Linked DNA regions of Styela clava. The protein of the gene in region 2 purifies or fractionates together with the protein of the main gene of each other region. This does not show direct contact. Links are inferred from orthologs where the notes say so. Each region holds a gene or a part of one and is shown on either strand. Other genes may lie near its edges. The genes, in order: transcription initiation factor TFIID subunit 5-like and transcription initiation factor TFIID subunit 4-like.

Region 1 (7,434 bases), on a different chromosome or scaffold from region 2:
GAAAAATATGATATAAAAATATGATATATTTACAACAATTGTCCCCATAAAGTTCCTAATATTTCATTTTAAATACCTGTAGATATCTTTTCAACATTTGAAACGAATCTCGAGACATTTTGATAACAAATTCGCTGCTGTGAAAAACCCTCATCAACTCATTTCCTTCCATATGTTCTTTCTTTGTCATTGTCGATAATTTGATTAAATCTTCTTCATGAAAATCTTCTAATTCTCCACTAAAGAATAAGGAAAGGAATTTTTTAATTAACCCCGAGAAAAATTTCTCAATTGTAGAACTTCTGCTTTGTCGAATTTCCTAACAGTGCAGACTTGAAGTGTTTCATGTTTCTAATTAACTTGGTATTTTAAGTCACAGGAAGAAATATATATCTTTCTATTGTATGTTTGAAGTAGAGATTCTTCTATCATATTCTTTATTTTTATTTCACAGCCTCTTTCTGAGTAAAGTGGAGAAGTTGCAAAAATAATGCATTTAATTGTGATTTATGAAAAGGAAATAATTCTAAATTACTACGTTCATTTCTCCTAACATCTTAGTGACCCCCAAAAAAATTTATCAACTGGAAAATAGCTTGAAACAAATTGTATCACTCCAAGTTCACATTATATTTGAGCAATTTTTATAAAAGTATTCTAGGATCAAAAACTGCATTCACTTCAATTGAATCAAAAATTAAAAAGTGGTCATATCTACTATAAACATGATTGACCGTCTATACAACTTGCTTAATCACCTGTATTGTAGAAAAAATAACTTTGCCTTTTCCGCATGATTATTGTATAAGAGTTCTAGATACATATGAACAAATACTGGATATAATACTTGAGCTAATTCCCATTTATGTGAGTCCAAATTTGATTCGATGAACTGCTTTAACATTCTACAAATATAAGAGGATAGAATCTCATAGACAATAACAAATAATTCACTCTTTCGAATACATTCAAAATTATTATTTTTGAATATGCAATATTGAATTTATTCGAAAATAAAACCAAGCAATAGAAGCTTTTCTTAGGAGGAATTTGCAAAACAGTGGAATAACTGTCATCTACAACTGTCATCAATCTGGCTATTTATGACACATTTTATGTCCGCAGATTGCTGTCAGAGTGGTAATGCTTCTATTTTTTCGTAAGAGTCGAGTTATTTTATTTGTCACTTCAAAAAACAATCAATCAAGAACAAAAATTTGTCATAAATAAATATTGAAATGACAAGTGCTGTGAAGGACGGAATGATCCGGCATCGAGTCTACAACACCTTAAAAAGATAAAAAAAATAAATGAATAGAAGAAACAAATAAAAAGAGTAGTAATAGTATCAAAAGTATGTAAATAAGAATAAGTATGAAAGTCCAAATCAAAAATTATTTATCACAATTTCTGAAATGACAATGACATAGAATCAAATCTTTGATTGGTTGTTATCTTCCGTGCGAGCGTGAGCCGCATATTGTTGCCAGCATTGCCACCATTCCCTTGCAAAGCTCCTAATTTACGCATTCATTTTTTCCTTTACTTTGAAAAATTGAAACACCTGACACCCACTCAAGTTTAGTCAATGACTCGAGTCAAGCAATCAATCAAATCGCTCAGAAAAAGCACAATAAAATCAAAATAAGAGATCTGTATATAGTCAGTCATGTCTTTGCTTGGAAGGGACAGAATAACCGTGAAATGACTATTCGATCTACTTGTCAACGGCAACCTTGCAATATGAATAAATTCTAAGAATATAAAATTACCACAAAATAAACGGGTTCATGCGAAGCTCTCCAACACGAAGCCCAAGTACGAGGAGCGAGTTGGGTGTATAGAGTTAAGAATCTAAATAAGTATATCCTATATGTTTTTTTTGATTATTTTACCTATAACTATCTTGGTAACTTGAAGGATCAGCTTGATTGGAATAAGTGGAAAGTAGTGATGAAACATCAGATGTACTAAAATTTTTGCTATCAGATGGAAGTCCGTCAGAACCTGAAAAACAAGTAAAGTTAAATAAATCAAATTTATTAACCCTTTCCGTGCGGTAGGCACGTATACGTACCAACGACAAAAGTCGCTAGATTGCGGCGGGTACGTTGATGTACTCCACTGTTTTATTTAGCAATCGGTCGCAAACTGTTGGTCTAGTTTTTCCGGATTTTAGTTTATTGATAAGAAGTCATCTTCGAGATTAACATAAGCAGTGGTAAATCTCGCTTTCGTTTACGACGGGAATTTTATTTGCGGCGGAACGAGGGAGTGTTTTTGAAATTTATGCAAATTTTGGTGTTTTTTGGATGGTAATAGAAGACATATTATCCCTTCCATCTACCAAAGTATTTTGAGTTAGATCACGAAATTGCTACAGCAATATTATGCTATTGTTTGCCAACCACGAAGCGGTAACAGTAAAGGATTTAGCGAATATTTCTATTTTTTATCACGGTTTGAATTTTCAACTCCCAAGAAAAAAAAATGCCTTTTTTCTATCCGGTTTGTGACTCAGACCACCCCTTTTAAAAAAAATTTTTAATCGCCAATTGCAAGCTCTTTAAATAAGCTTTCCAACGAGCCGTCAGTGGGCAGCAGAGAATCATTACTTTTTCGTTAGTCGATCGATTAGTTGTGGGGGTGCAAATGCATAAAGTCGGCGTAGCAAATACGATTATTTAATAAAAAATAAAAATCGCATGGAAAATTACATCTTACAAAATTAAGGCATTGTCTAGCAATTTCTCATTTTTGTGATGTCATCTTTTTTACAAATATTTATTTTATCGTTTGTTATGTTGATTATGGAGTCGAAATAAACTTATACTTATTCAAATATCCAGCAAGTGGTATTGGATTTCAGCATTTTACTAGCGATAATCTACATATTTTGTTACCTGTAAGTTTTGAAGACTCCTTTTCCAGCATAGCTGCCGTTGTTCCCAAGTTATTTTTCTTCAAAAACTGAAGAACAGCTAAAAGTGTTTTCTGATTTTCATTTGTTGGGGTCTCAGTAACCTTAGTTTCATTCGTGGTAGAAATGCATTCCGTGACTTCCATTTTAACAGGTAACGCGGGCACATTTGCAAATACAGATTCCATTATATCCGTTTTCTGTATACAAACCCGTATAGCTGTCCATACAAACTAGAAACGAAGCAATAAACCAATCGGATTGTAAACCCTAAACAACGCTATTCATTCATCAAACGCGAAATACAGAATCAGAGCGCAAAACACCGGAGGTTATCTTTTGTGGCACCGTAATCGCGTCACAGGCATTTTAAGGTAACAAGGTAACAAAAAAAAATCAAAATAGAATGAAAGATTTTTAAATTAATTAGTATTTTTTAAATAAAAAAACTTAATAAATTTTGCGCATGTAAATCATGTTATCTGCAATTTCCTTATTTTTGAAATCATGAAAGACGCTAAAACGATACCAGTGGCATAAAATTATGACGCCTTAGTCAACACATGTTGGGTATATCATTATTTATAATGTGGGTCGCCACAACTTCGATTTGATTGCAATTTTGTGAGACTTTGATCGAGTTGACGTTGGTGGAAGATGCAACACGACGATGTAAGTAATTTATTTTTCTTCAGTCACCCTAATGCCTTCAATAATCTTACAATCTACGACATGACAATCTATTGAACGTTTTTTACAGGTTATTTGGGATGTCATTGGAAACAAGCAATTTTGCTCCTATAAAGCAAAGTAAGTGTGTTTTCTGTCTAATGAATACCACCCTTCATTTCCATCAGTATGTTCAGAACAGCTTCATTTTATAATATCTTTTTTCAGAGCAATCACATCAAAAACACAAAGATTTTGTAAAAATGAATATAATTTGACGGGACTTTGCAACAGGGGCTCATGCCCGTTGGCTAACAGCCAGTATGCTACTATAAAAGAAGAGAAAGGTTTGTAATGTAGTATTTTCACATTTCCTATAATAGCCTTATGTTGTAATAATAAATATTTTAAAATGTTACTCTAGGTGTTTGTTATCTTTATATGAAGACAATTGAAAGAGCAGCTTTTCCTGGAAGATTATGGGAAAAAGTAAAGCTATCAAGAAACTATGAAAAAGCATTGGAACAAATTGATGAAAATTTAGTATATTGGCCGTACTTTTTAAGACATAAGTGTAAACAACGCTTCACAAAGATATATCAATATTTGATCAGAATTCGAAAGTTAACTTTACGAAGGCAGTAAGTATATTTATTGTAGCTCAATAAATATTTCCCAATCAATATTTTACAAAATCAAATAATATATTTAATAAGTGTTACTGCATCGCATGAAGTTTAATTATTGACCAAACAGTCAAATTGAGGGCTTGATGGTCAGGCAATATTAGGGGAAACTCAACCTAAGCGAGTCTTCTTCAATCATCTACCATAGAAATAAGTCAACACTCTTAAAGTAAACAGCCCGAATTGAGTATTAATGATATTGAATAGAAAAAAATCATACATGTTTGAAGAAGCGTAGTTCTTACCACTTCATGGCAGCTCCTGCCACGAATGTACTGCGGCGTCTCTTGCCATGGTTTTATGGCGCTATTACCTGTATATTTACAAAGTCATGTACAATATTTTAGTTTATCATGCGGAAATATAACTACTTGAACCTAAACCTAACCCCAAATACATCAAAACTGTATTCATAAATAAAGCGTTTCAACTTACCCAACATTTACATGCCGTGGTTCAGCAGCAAAATTGGTGGTATTCGATTTGCTGCCGTATCCACGGCAGCTTGCTATTGGTTTGTGGCAGCTAAAAAGTCAGTAGCGCTATTGGTCATAGCGGCTATGGATTTGCGACAGCTCTAGACGCCACAAAATACTTGAAACTGCACTTGTGTTTTAAAGGATAAATCTGTTTTTAATATTTTCAGGAAAAAATTAGTGCCTTTGAGTCGGAAAGTAGAACGAAGAGAAGCAAGGCGGGAAGTATGACTAATTTATTATTGAATTCACTTACCAAGAAAAATTCTGTTAAACTAATCATTTTTATTTCATCTTTTCAGCAAAAAGCGTTAGTTGCTGCACAATTGGAGAATGCAATAGAAAAAGAATTATTGGAAAGATTAAAGCAAGGAACGTATGGAGATATTTATAATGTATCAGTCACTGCATTTGATAGAGCTTTACAAAAAGATGAAGCCGAGTCTGAGAGTGAAGACGAGGAAGAAACTCAGGCGGTAATGTTTGTTCAAAAATGAAACTTTTGCTCTGGTATTTCCTGAGTAATCTAAATTTGAGTTATTTTCATCACAGGAGGTGGAATATGTAGCTGATGACGAAGTGGATGAAAGTGATCTAGAGGTGAGATTTATTTATATCTGTCTATTTTGTAATCAGTAACAATGAATACATGAAGTTTCGTTTAATTTCTACCTACCCTAAATTTTCAGGACTAAATATGCCTTTCCCGGCGTTGCAAAGATGTGCTTTGGCGTTAGTTAGCTCTATAGATTTTCGTATCTTTTGATGAAATAAAGCCACTCAATACATACACTAACTTTCCAAAAGTCAGGCCATGTTGGCCTCAATTGAATTTATGCTTGCCTGTCTGTAATTCTACCTTTATGGTTTCTGACATGCTATACTACTATATGATGAAATAATCAGTGTCTTGCATATGTATATGAAAATGTCTATAAGTTGCTTGTAACTGCACGAATCTATTTATCTTTGATGTTCAAGAATTCGGATCAGTGTTGTATATGTATATTCCACTAATAATTTTCTAGCTTATGCCAAAATAAATTGCTAACAGTAAGCTAGAATATGATTGAGATTAGCAAAAATTCATGGACATGATTCTTGATATCATTCTTTCATCAGGATATTGAAGATCTGACATCAGAAGGAGAGTCTGAAGAGGAAACCGAGAAGGAAACAAAATCTGCATCGAAAAGAAAACATTTAGAAATAGAATATGAAACTGAACCCAGTACAAGTAAAACTAAAAGAGAGGCACTAACTTTTTGAAACACGGATTATGACAATGCTCAAAATGTGCAACTATTCCCAATGTGATGAAATACCATCTCCACGATATAGACTGGACTAAGCAGAGGTGGCAATCAGTTGTTGGATTTTTTTGCCATATTGACTTAACGCCAGATCTGTTTCAGCTTCTAACATCTGTGCAGTCTCCTGTTTGCATAAATGATCAATATGGTATATTAAAAAAAGTGCGAGAAATTATGATTCATTTGATCCTGAAATCATGGACCTACCAGGATAAGTTCTTTAGAAAGCATTGAAAGTTTCATCGTTGTGTCAATGATGGCATTCACGATTTTCTTTTTCCCATTTTCATTGCATCCTTTCCACCTCCAATCATCATTTTCCAGGTTATAAAGTGCTCTTATTAGAAATCTTAACATTGCTTCACAGTGATGTTCTAGTCTAAGAGAATGACAAATTGTATTAGAATGATAAAGACTAGTAGTACAGGATAGTTTTTGAATATACCTATCATCAATATAGCAGAATAATAATTGATTTTAATCTTGCGTTTAAATAGCATACATTCTCCCCCTACATTCTCTTTCATATACTTGCAAGCAGGTAAATGTAGTCCTATGATATTCGATCAGTAAGACTTCACTCACCTTGGCCATGCGGCATCAACCATTTTTGAAATTACGTCAATGCAGCTCAACATTGTTTGAATATCGGTACTTTCTATTCCGTAATCCAGAACAATTATAATTTTCTTAATATGACCAATACTTTGAATTCCCATTCTTGATACAAAGAAAGGCAGTGCAGAGGAATAAACTCTGGAAGGTACAGAAGATGTTTCGAATTACCAGGTCAGCCGTAGCTGTTTAATAGATGCAGACAACAAATATCATCCAATGCTAAAAGCTAAAAATATTTGGCATATAAAGTTTGAGAAGTGACTTTCCCTGTTACTAGAACTTTCAAAAGAGATGAAAATTCTAATTTTTTGTCAACCCAATAATTTCAGGTGTACTAGGGTATTTAACTGCAGGTACTTTCTTCTTGTTTACTTTCTATTACGGATCTGTACCAGGATGCGTGACTGAGATAGTATTATGAAGATAAATAAAAATAACTTAATCTTCTTCCACGAAGCAATATCTTGTGTTATCTGAAGAAGTTAGACTGTGATCTAACTAACGAAAGCTCATAAATATACTTGATATTTTGTGGAAAGAAATTATGTTATTTTTATTTAGCAATAATTTCACCCATGATCTAATCATAATGTAATTGAGGACTAAATGTTTATTAAAAATTCATCCTTATCAATGGTTTTATTTCGTAAATCAAATATAATTCACCTTTTCACTAAATTGTCACTCGACAAATGAAAGTTATTCAGAACAATTTCAAAGCACTCATCATGCCTTGGAATACTGCATCCACG
Region 2 (7,388 bases):
AGGTGCTATGCAAGAAGTCTATTGCTATTATGTCTATCCCGTTTGAGCAATCACATAGTAATACAATAACACCTCATTCACTGCCAAAGGCTTTCGGATTTAATTGATTGGGAACAGTATTTGGTTGTATAAAGATATGATTTCAACAGTTACAAATAAATGATATTAGCCTTGTTATTTGTTACGCTGCATTCGTAGATAATGAATTTACAAGAAGATGTTAATCAGTGAAGAACATCAGACTTCTTATACCTGAGATAGCGTTATAGATTGAGAATTCTGTGGTGTTGTCGCTGGACTTGTGGTAGATACTTTACTGACAGCAACCGTCTGAAAAGTAATGTTTTGGTGAAAAAAAGATTCAGATCAAAATATTTATGATCAGTACATGATAAGAAAAATATAAAACAAAGTCTTGCAGACAAAGACAGTAGATAATGCTGTATATTGGTAACTATTAGAGACTCATTATGGCAGAATCCACTCTAAGTGCAAATTGCTAAGAAACAATTGAAGTTTCATGCAATAAGTGGTGAATTCTGTGAGATCAGGGGTGTCCGAAAACAAATGGAGTATTAGAATGCATTTGAACTTGGTAGGACACAGATGAGCTAATTAACAAATTTAACTTCTATTAACAGTCTGAGTGATTTTCACTGTAGACATGGCCCATTTCAGAACGTATTCGGTATTCCATATTTGGAAATATTATTTCAGAATGGTAAATTATTGGGTTTTAGACAACATATTATATCATCTGGGCATAAAATCACAAATAATTAATAAATCTTATTAATATAATCAATCAAAAAAGAAAAATCATTATTATTATTAATAAACAAAGATATGCCATGATTTCACAATGTATTAATGGAAAGGAAGATATTACAGACGAGTTACTGATACTGGGCATAAAATAAATATAACTTGAAAAACTTTGTGAAAAATACATTCCATACTTACTTGCTTAGCAGCAACAGCTTTAAGGTTAATTGAATTTGTAACTGGAACCACTGTTCTTGCTACCACCTGACCAGCTGTTGTTGCAGTTATCTTAATAGAAAAATGGAATCAATAGATTTTTTCATCCTTTATTCTGTTGAGCCTGGCTTTGACTTTTTTTGTAAGAAGACGATATGAAACAAATTGTCAAAAGAATGGAATGGAAATTAGCAATAAAAAGTTGCTCGATTGTGTTTCATACGATAAAAGCAAATTTACATAATCGTGGTAAGATTTTGATTTGTGCAAAACATTTGCAGAATAAAACATACAGAAATGTTTACAAAAAATTTGAGGCAGGTGTTTTCAAAATTCCCTTATTGGGTAGAAAGAGTACATGTACCATTTTGCTAACTATTGTAATTGTTGTTTTCTTGCAACTAATAGACCTAATAAAATCATATTTCAGTACTTCAATGTGGAATAAGTCCCTAGGAGGCTATTACTTCTATTTTGCTCAAATTTTGTCCTACTCAAAATTTTGCTGTTTTTTTTCCAATTCACAGAAATACTGTTATATGACATCTGTGAAACACCTACAATTACTAAAAAAAAATGTCAGAAATTTTGCTAAAATTCCAGTATTCATTTAAAATCTGGGCACTTATAATTGATCTTTGCTTTGTTATCAACTTTAATACTTACTGCGGGTTGAGGTGATGATGTCCCAACACCTGCTGTTGTCGAATTTTTCAACGTTGTTACGGTCCCAGATGTTGCGGTCTGAGTTACAGGAACTGTGGATGTATTTGTAGTAGATGACGATGACAACGAATTACTACTCACAAGCAGCAACTGTCCATTCTGATGTCTTGCTAGAACCATACCTGTATACGGTTGGAATCAAAAGTAATATGGGAAATCAGCGAAAAGCACAGATCATTCATCATACAGGAAGTAAATCAAGAAAAAAGCTCCATCAAACCATATAACCAGCGTGTAGATAGGCTCAGCATGTTCACTAACAGCCCTGTATCGATGCTCAACAACTTTCAATCAGTTCCACATTCGAGGGCTTATGATATTGTGTGGAACATAACTCTTTATATAGGAATGTAATGCTTGATAGTAAAATACAGTTCACTTAATTGAAAAAATAAGAAAAGGGGACATATTAACTTTCAGTATATATAGCTAAGCCTGTTCCAGGGGGTTTTGATCCCTTTTGCCACATCCAACTTGTATTAGACTGGTTTTCTGTCGCTGTAATATTCAAGCTTGAATAATGATGGAAAATTATCGTGGTGAAACAGTACAGCTAAGGACATGTGCATGAAAACAAGCTTCATGTATCGTAATAGTTAAGTTTGAATATATTTTAAAACTTTTAATTTTATTATTTAAGTTTGAAAAAAATAAATTCTTCATCCACTGCATTGTCGTATTAAAAACTTAGGAACCTTTGACCCAATAACAATAGTCCATGAGAGTTTCCAGTACATAATTATGTACCATTGTGACTGCATAGCGTATGAAAAAGGAATTAGATAAAAAGTAGAAATCAAATTAACCTGGAGGAATAGTTATCCCAGATGCTAGTTGCACTGCACCACCTTGTTGAGGACGCGCAGTCACCATTGGCTGAGTCGTAGAAACTTGAGCCTTCGATGTAGGATTCAATAAATTATTTTGCAAACCAGTATTTGATTGCTGCATTCCTGGTTGTGGAATTTTATTTACTGTGGTCAGAGTCGTTAATTGTTTTGCCACAGGTGTGGATGCTTTAGGCAACTGTGAATTTAAAACTAGGGTCGGCTGTTGTGGGGTTGGGGCCCCATAGCCCTCATTTAGACCTGTTGACCAGTCATTAAGCATCCCTTGCTGCTGAGAGGTGACCGGGCTAGCAGTCCTGACCTGCTGTACTCCGTTTTTTGCTGCAGAAAATGGAGGTAAACTATTCATTCCAGAATTATAGCTGTTCAACGTGTTTGGGGTACTTGATGAAGATGTGAGAACTGTGTCCGTCGATCCAGGTGGGCTAACCCTCATTGCATTGAACAAAACAGCTTAGATCTATACATCACCTTGAAAAAATATATTTAGAATTAATTTTTGACTACGATTGCAAGTTCTTAAAATAAATCTTTGCATTGAGATCTGGATTAGAATCTCTCGAAAAAGACCTTAGTCATTTAATCGCAATCCCACAGAGAGAAATAAAAAAGTTGCATTTATTTGTGGAATTGTAAAGGTGCAATAAACTTGATATATACATGAGTAAATGACTGAGCGATGCGGTGTTTGGCGCAGCGGTGTGGCTCAACGAGCTAAGCGTTAGGAATACGCTAGCCACCGCACCTCTAATTACTCTGCGTGGGTTCGCAGGTTCGAATCCCATGCAGGGATGGTTATGTGCGAGAGGATTGCTGGACTCCTCGCCGTCGTTGGGTAGTTCACGTAACCGCTGGTCGGTTACGGCTTCCTCCACCACCAGGTCCATGCTTCCGAAAACAAACAATATAACTAATTCCATACCCGACTTTGAATGGTAACCGGACGAGAGGCCGTGGTTCGACATATGGATAAGCCGTCTTTCCTCTCCCCCGGGATAAATATATAAATTCTATCCTATCTATTACTTGTGTGGGTCTGGTATAGCTTAGTACCACATGCACTTCTAGTTGGTCTGGCTCAACAATTTTTGAATGTCATTCCCAATCCCCGCCTGACTGCGTCACCAAAAAAATCTGTCACAGTGGCTTAAAAGTCCCTACAAAGTATGCGGAACGCGCAGACGATCACTCAAAATCAAGCAAGCTATCCATCATGTTTTCTCGCCACAACGATCACGCTATGAGAGAGATCGCGGGCGTTAGTGAGTTCATTATGGGCGGCGCAGATGACATTTCGGGTGATTGTAACTGTACTTTGGCAAGCTCCATTATGTGATTGTGACGTCGTAGTGATGTAATTTTTGGATGGTATAGTCAGGTGGGGATTAGGAATAACATACGCAAATTTCGTTATGTTACGCCCACTGGAAGTTCTTGTGGTACTAAACTATACTAGACCCGTTAAGTGCAATGCTACCACATGCTATGCTCGATCCAAACCTGAGGGGTTTGACAGACAGATCGGGCAAATTAAAAATACCCCAATAGAGCAATATGATATGAAAAATTAACAATATTAACAAGTCTAAAAGTGGTTTTAGACAATACCATATCGGTATGACTGCACTGCTATACATAACCATTATACTAGATAGGCTACACCCTTACATAAAAGTATTCTTCATACTGCAGTACTGTCATAATTGAACAGATATTTCCTGATTTCTGTAGTTTCATATGCCTATCTGTATATTCAGATATTAAATACTGGTCGTGCAATAGGTCACTATCACCCAGATATGTTACCCAATACTTGTATTATCTTGTACCTTGGTACTTGATTGTTGTGCTCTGTCAAACAACAACATGTCAAGAATCCTATATCACAAGACACTTCTTTTGCATTACACAGTTACAGGATTATTAAAAGAAATGCTGAAAGTTGATGTATAAACGACTGACAATAATATTCGAAACAGGTCAAGCACCCTTTACAACTATAAACATATCAGTAAAAAAATGTATTTAGCAACTAACTATATGATCGTTCAGTGGGCCATTAGCTCCACCAACTCACAACTCCCAAATGCACACCTCGAAACCTCGGGCGCGAATGAAGCGCAGCGACCCGTTGGGCGCCATCACTACTCCACGGCCTTCACAACAAGAATGAAGTGCGCATGCGTCATCATTTTCCGATTCAAGGGAATGGATCGTGTTTTAAAATGAAGTACGGTCATATGAAAAATTAAAAACATTGTATTATGAATTTTTTTTTTAATTTTTATTGTATTGCAAATGTAAATTTATGTTATACAACAATCTTTTTAATCGAATAAACAAATATCAGTGTATTTACGTTATAAAACAAGTCTCCGCTGACACCCCCTTCATATATAACAAGTGGTTCACACCGCGGTCCTCAAATTTTGCTTTTTTCTTTTTCTCTCATTTTCATTTTTCATTATATCACAGAAAAAAGAAAAAATGGATTTTCAGACGAACACTAGAGCGCGATTAAGAGCAACGCGTCATACAATCTGAACGCGGGTCATGAAGTGTTTTCATGCCTTATCCGTTGTCGCTATTTCAAATTGGTAGGAAATCAAACTGTTAGTTATCGTTTCTTTCTTGTTAATTTACACGAGGCAGGACTTTTCTCTGAGATTTAATATACTCGGAATAGTATCAATGGTAATACAGCTTTAATGAAAACAAGCTCTGAAGTTATTTGGCTATCCGTGTCAGGTGGTGTCACATTGGTTATTTGCTTTTTAAATACCGTAGTGGGATGTGATATTTGCTGTTCAGCAGTGCAAATTGGGAAATCATTGTTTATCTCAAACTTAGTTTGTTAGTTCTTAATGGACTGCAGCACATATGTAGACTGGATTTGTAAATAAAAAAATGTACCATAATGACAGAGTTTGGAAATAAAAACCTGTCTCTCTCGTTCTCTTGGAAATCTTTTATGTCTGTATGTGCAGATACTGAGATGTGTTTGGTAACTCTTAAAAACTATAAAAATATTTCATAATTTTTACCTCCTAGTTTTTTGGCGATATGAGTTGTGGAACTCCATATATCGGCAGTAGGATTAGTTTGATATCAAAGGCAAAAATCCGTTATGAAGGAATTTTGTTCACGATTGATGCTGAAAATGCTACAGTTGCTCTGGCAAAAGGTATATTTTACGTTTCCTTATAAATTTGTCAATTTATGATGTTCGTTACACAATTTATTTATTCGAGTTTTATTATAAATTTTACTTGAGGAATATTGATTATATGTAGCAAAAATTTATATATTGTATAAATTAAACTGCAAAATATTATACTTCCTGACTTCATAATAATATACATTATATTATTGAATTGATAATAAGGATGATTAATATTATATTTTTGAAGTCTTGAAAATCTGGTCTAGGTATTGCAGACAAAATGCTGATGCCAAAAACTGAAATATACCATGCTTTCCATTGTGGTAATAGGCTTTACCACAGATTTCACTTAAATTTATGGAAGATACAAAGCAAAATATACCTGCATTCCGGCTACCAGCTGCCTCATTCTAACTTGAAAAAACAAGCCTAATTATTATATTCGCTATTCCAGATAAAAGGAATATTAATGCTGTGATATATCAGTCAATTCATCAATTTTAGTTAAAATGAAGCATAATCATAGTTTCCCAATTTTGCACCATTTTTTATTATCTTGTATTATGCATATGTCAGTTAATTGAGTATTATTATTAGAGTTTTTACCGATATATAATGCTTGGCACAATTTTCCAAGAAAAAACTTATTTTATTCCATTTACAGTTCGATCATTTGGCACAGAAGATCGGCAGACCGAATGTGTAGTCCCTCCACGAGATGATTTATATGAATATATTATATTTCGTGGAAGCGACATAGAAGATCTGACAGTATGTGAACCTCCGAAGCCACAGCAGCCACCAACGACTTCTTTGCCACAAGATCCTGCTATTGTACAGGTGAAATGAATTTTATCTGCTTCAAAGTAAATACAAGTTTCAGAGTGGAACGAGTCTTTAACTCGAAACAAGTTGGATATAATATAATTTGATAATGCAGATTAGTTGGAAATGTTCTTTTTCAAATTTTTTATTTTTATAGTACAAGAACTTTAATGGAATTTATTTTTTGTCTGAACATCAGATGGCAAATACTTGAAAATGTCAAATTTTCAAGTGAAACTATCCTAAATCATTTATTATATCAAATAGAACTAATTTAGTATATATTTCATTTATTTTGGACCCTGTTCTTATAATTCTAACATGAAACAATTTTGACTTCCTGTCTCTTTCCAGCCAAGTGTATTGTATATTACCACCACTATCATGTCACTGCACTAGATAAAAATTTAGCACATGGAATTACACCCAAAAGTTATTGTTTCTAGATATATTTATTTTTTAGTCTTGTATAATAGAGCAAATCAAATTTTTTGCTGTAATGACATTTTCAATCAAATGACGACTTATTTTTGTGAATTTATGGTAATTATATATTGTTCCTCGACTTGAAGTCTACGTAATAGATATATGATATAGGCCTATCCTATATATAATTTATAGCTTTTCTTTGCATTTACCTTTGTTTCCTCTTACAGTCTGTTGTGACATCTCAGCATTCTGGAATGCCTCCTAATGCACCAACTCATATGCCGCCACCATACATGCCACCGTATGGATATGGAATGCCTCCGTACAACATGGTCCCACCCCCAAACCAACCACCGCATATGCCATCCGGTCCACCACCACCTGTTGGCCTACCTAGATCTGCACATCCACAGCCT

What was found.
Region 1: the proteins of transcription initiation factor TFIID subunit 4-like (region 2) and transcription initiation factor TFIID subunit 5-like purify together in Drosophila melanogaster (affinity purification with western blotting; 3 studies listed by BioGRID). This does not show direct contact. The link is inferred for Styela clava from reciprocal best matches to the Drosophila melanogaster genes Taf4 and Taf5.

Annotation. Positions count from the first base shown.
Region 1 is NC_135258.1:9,324,613-9,332,046, forward strand, and holds the start of transcription initiation factor TFIID subunit 5-like, read right to left. Parts: upstream 3,250-7,434; 5' UTR 3,109-3,249; coding exon 2,904-3,108; intron 2,008-2,903; coding exon 1,896-2,007; intron 906-1,895; coding exon 759-905; intron 240-758; coding exon 77-239; intron 1-76. Other genes in the region: protein MAK16 homolog, read left to right, coding at 3,578-3,592, 3,681-3,730, 3,818-3,936, 4,014-4,230, 4,922-4,976, 5,054-5,227, 5,304-5,351, 5,874-6,020; TELO2-interacting protein 2-like, read right to left, coding at 6,099-6,188, 6,272-6,443, 6,650-6,820, 7,349-7,434. UniProt on the Drosophila melanogaster protein: TFIID is a multimeric protein complex that plays a central role in mediating promoter responses to various activators and repressors. May play a role in helping to anchor Taf4 within the TFIID complex.
Region 2 is NC_135262.1:5,622,968-5,630,355, forward strand, and holds the start of transcription initiation factor TFIID subunit 4-like, read right to left. Parts: upstream 3,027-7,388; 5' UTR 2,992-3,026; coding exon 2,514-2,991; intron 1,830-2,513; coding exon 1,648-1,829; intron 1,054-1,647; coding exon 964-1,053; intron 331-963; coding exon 253-330; intron 1-252. Other genes in the region: protein LSM14 homolog B-like, read left to right, coding at 5,619-5,739, 6,383-6,558, 7,200-7,388. UniProt on the Drosophila melanogaster protein: TFIID is a multimeric protein complex that plays a central role in mediating promoter responses to various activators and repressors.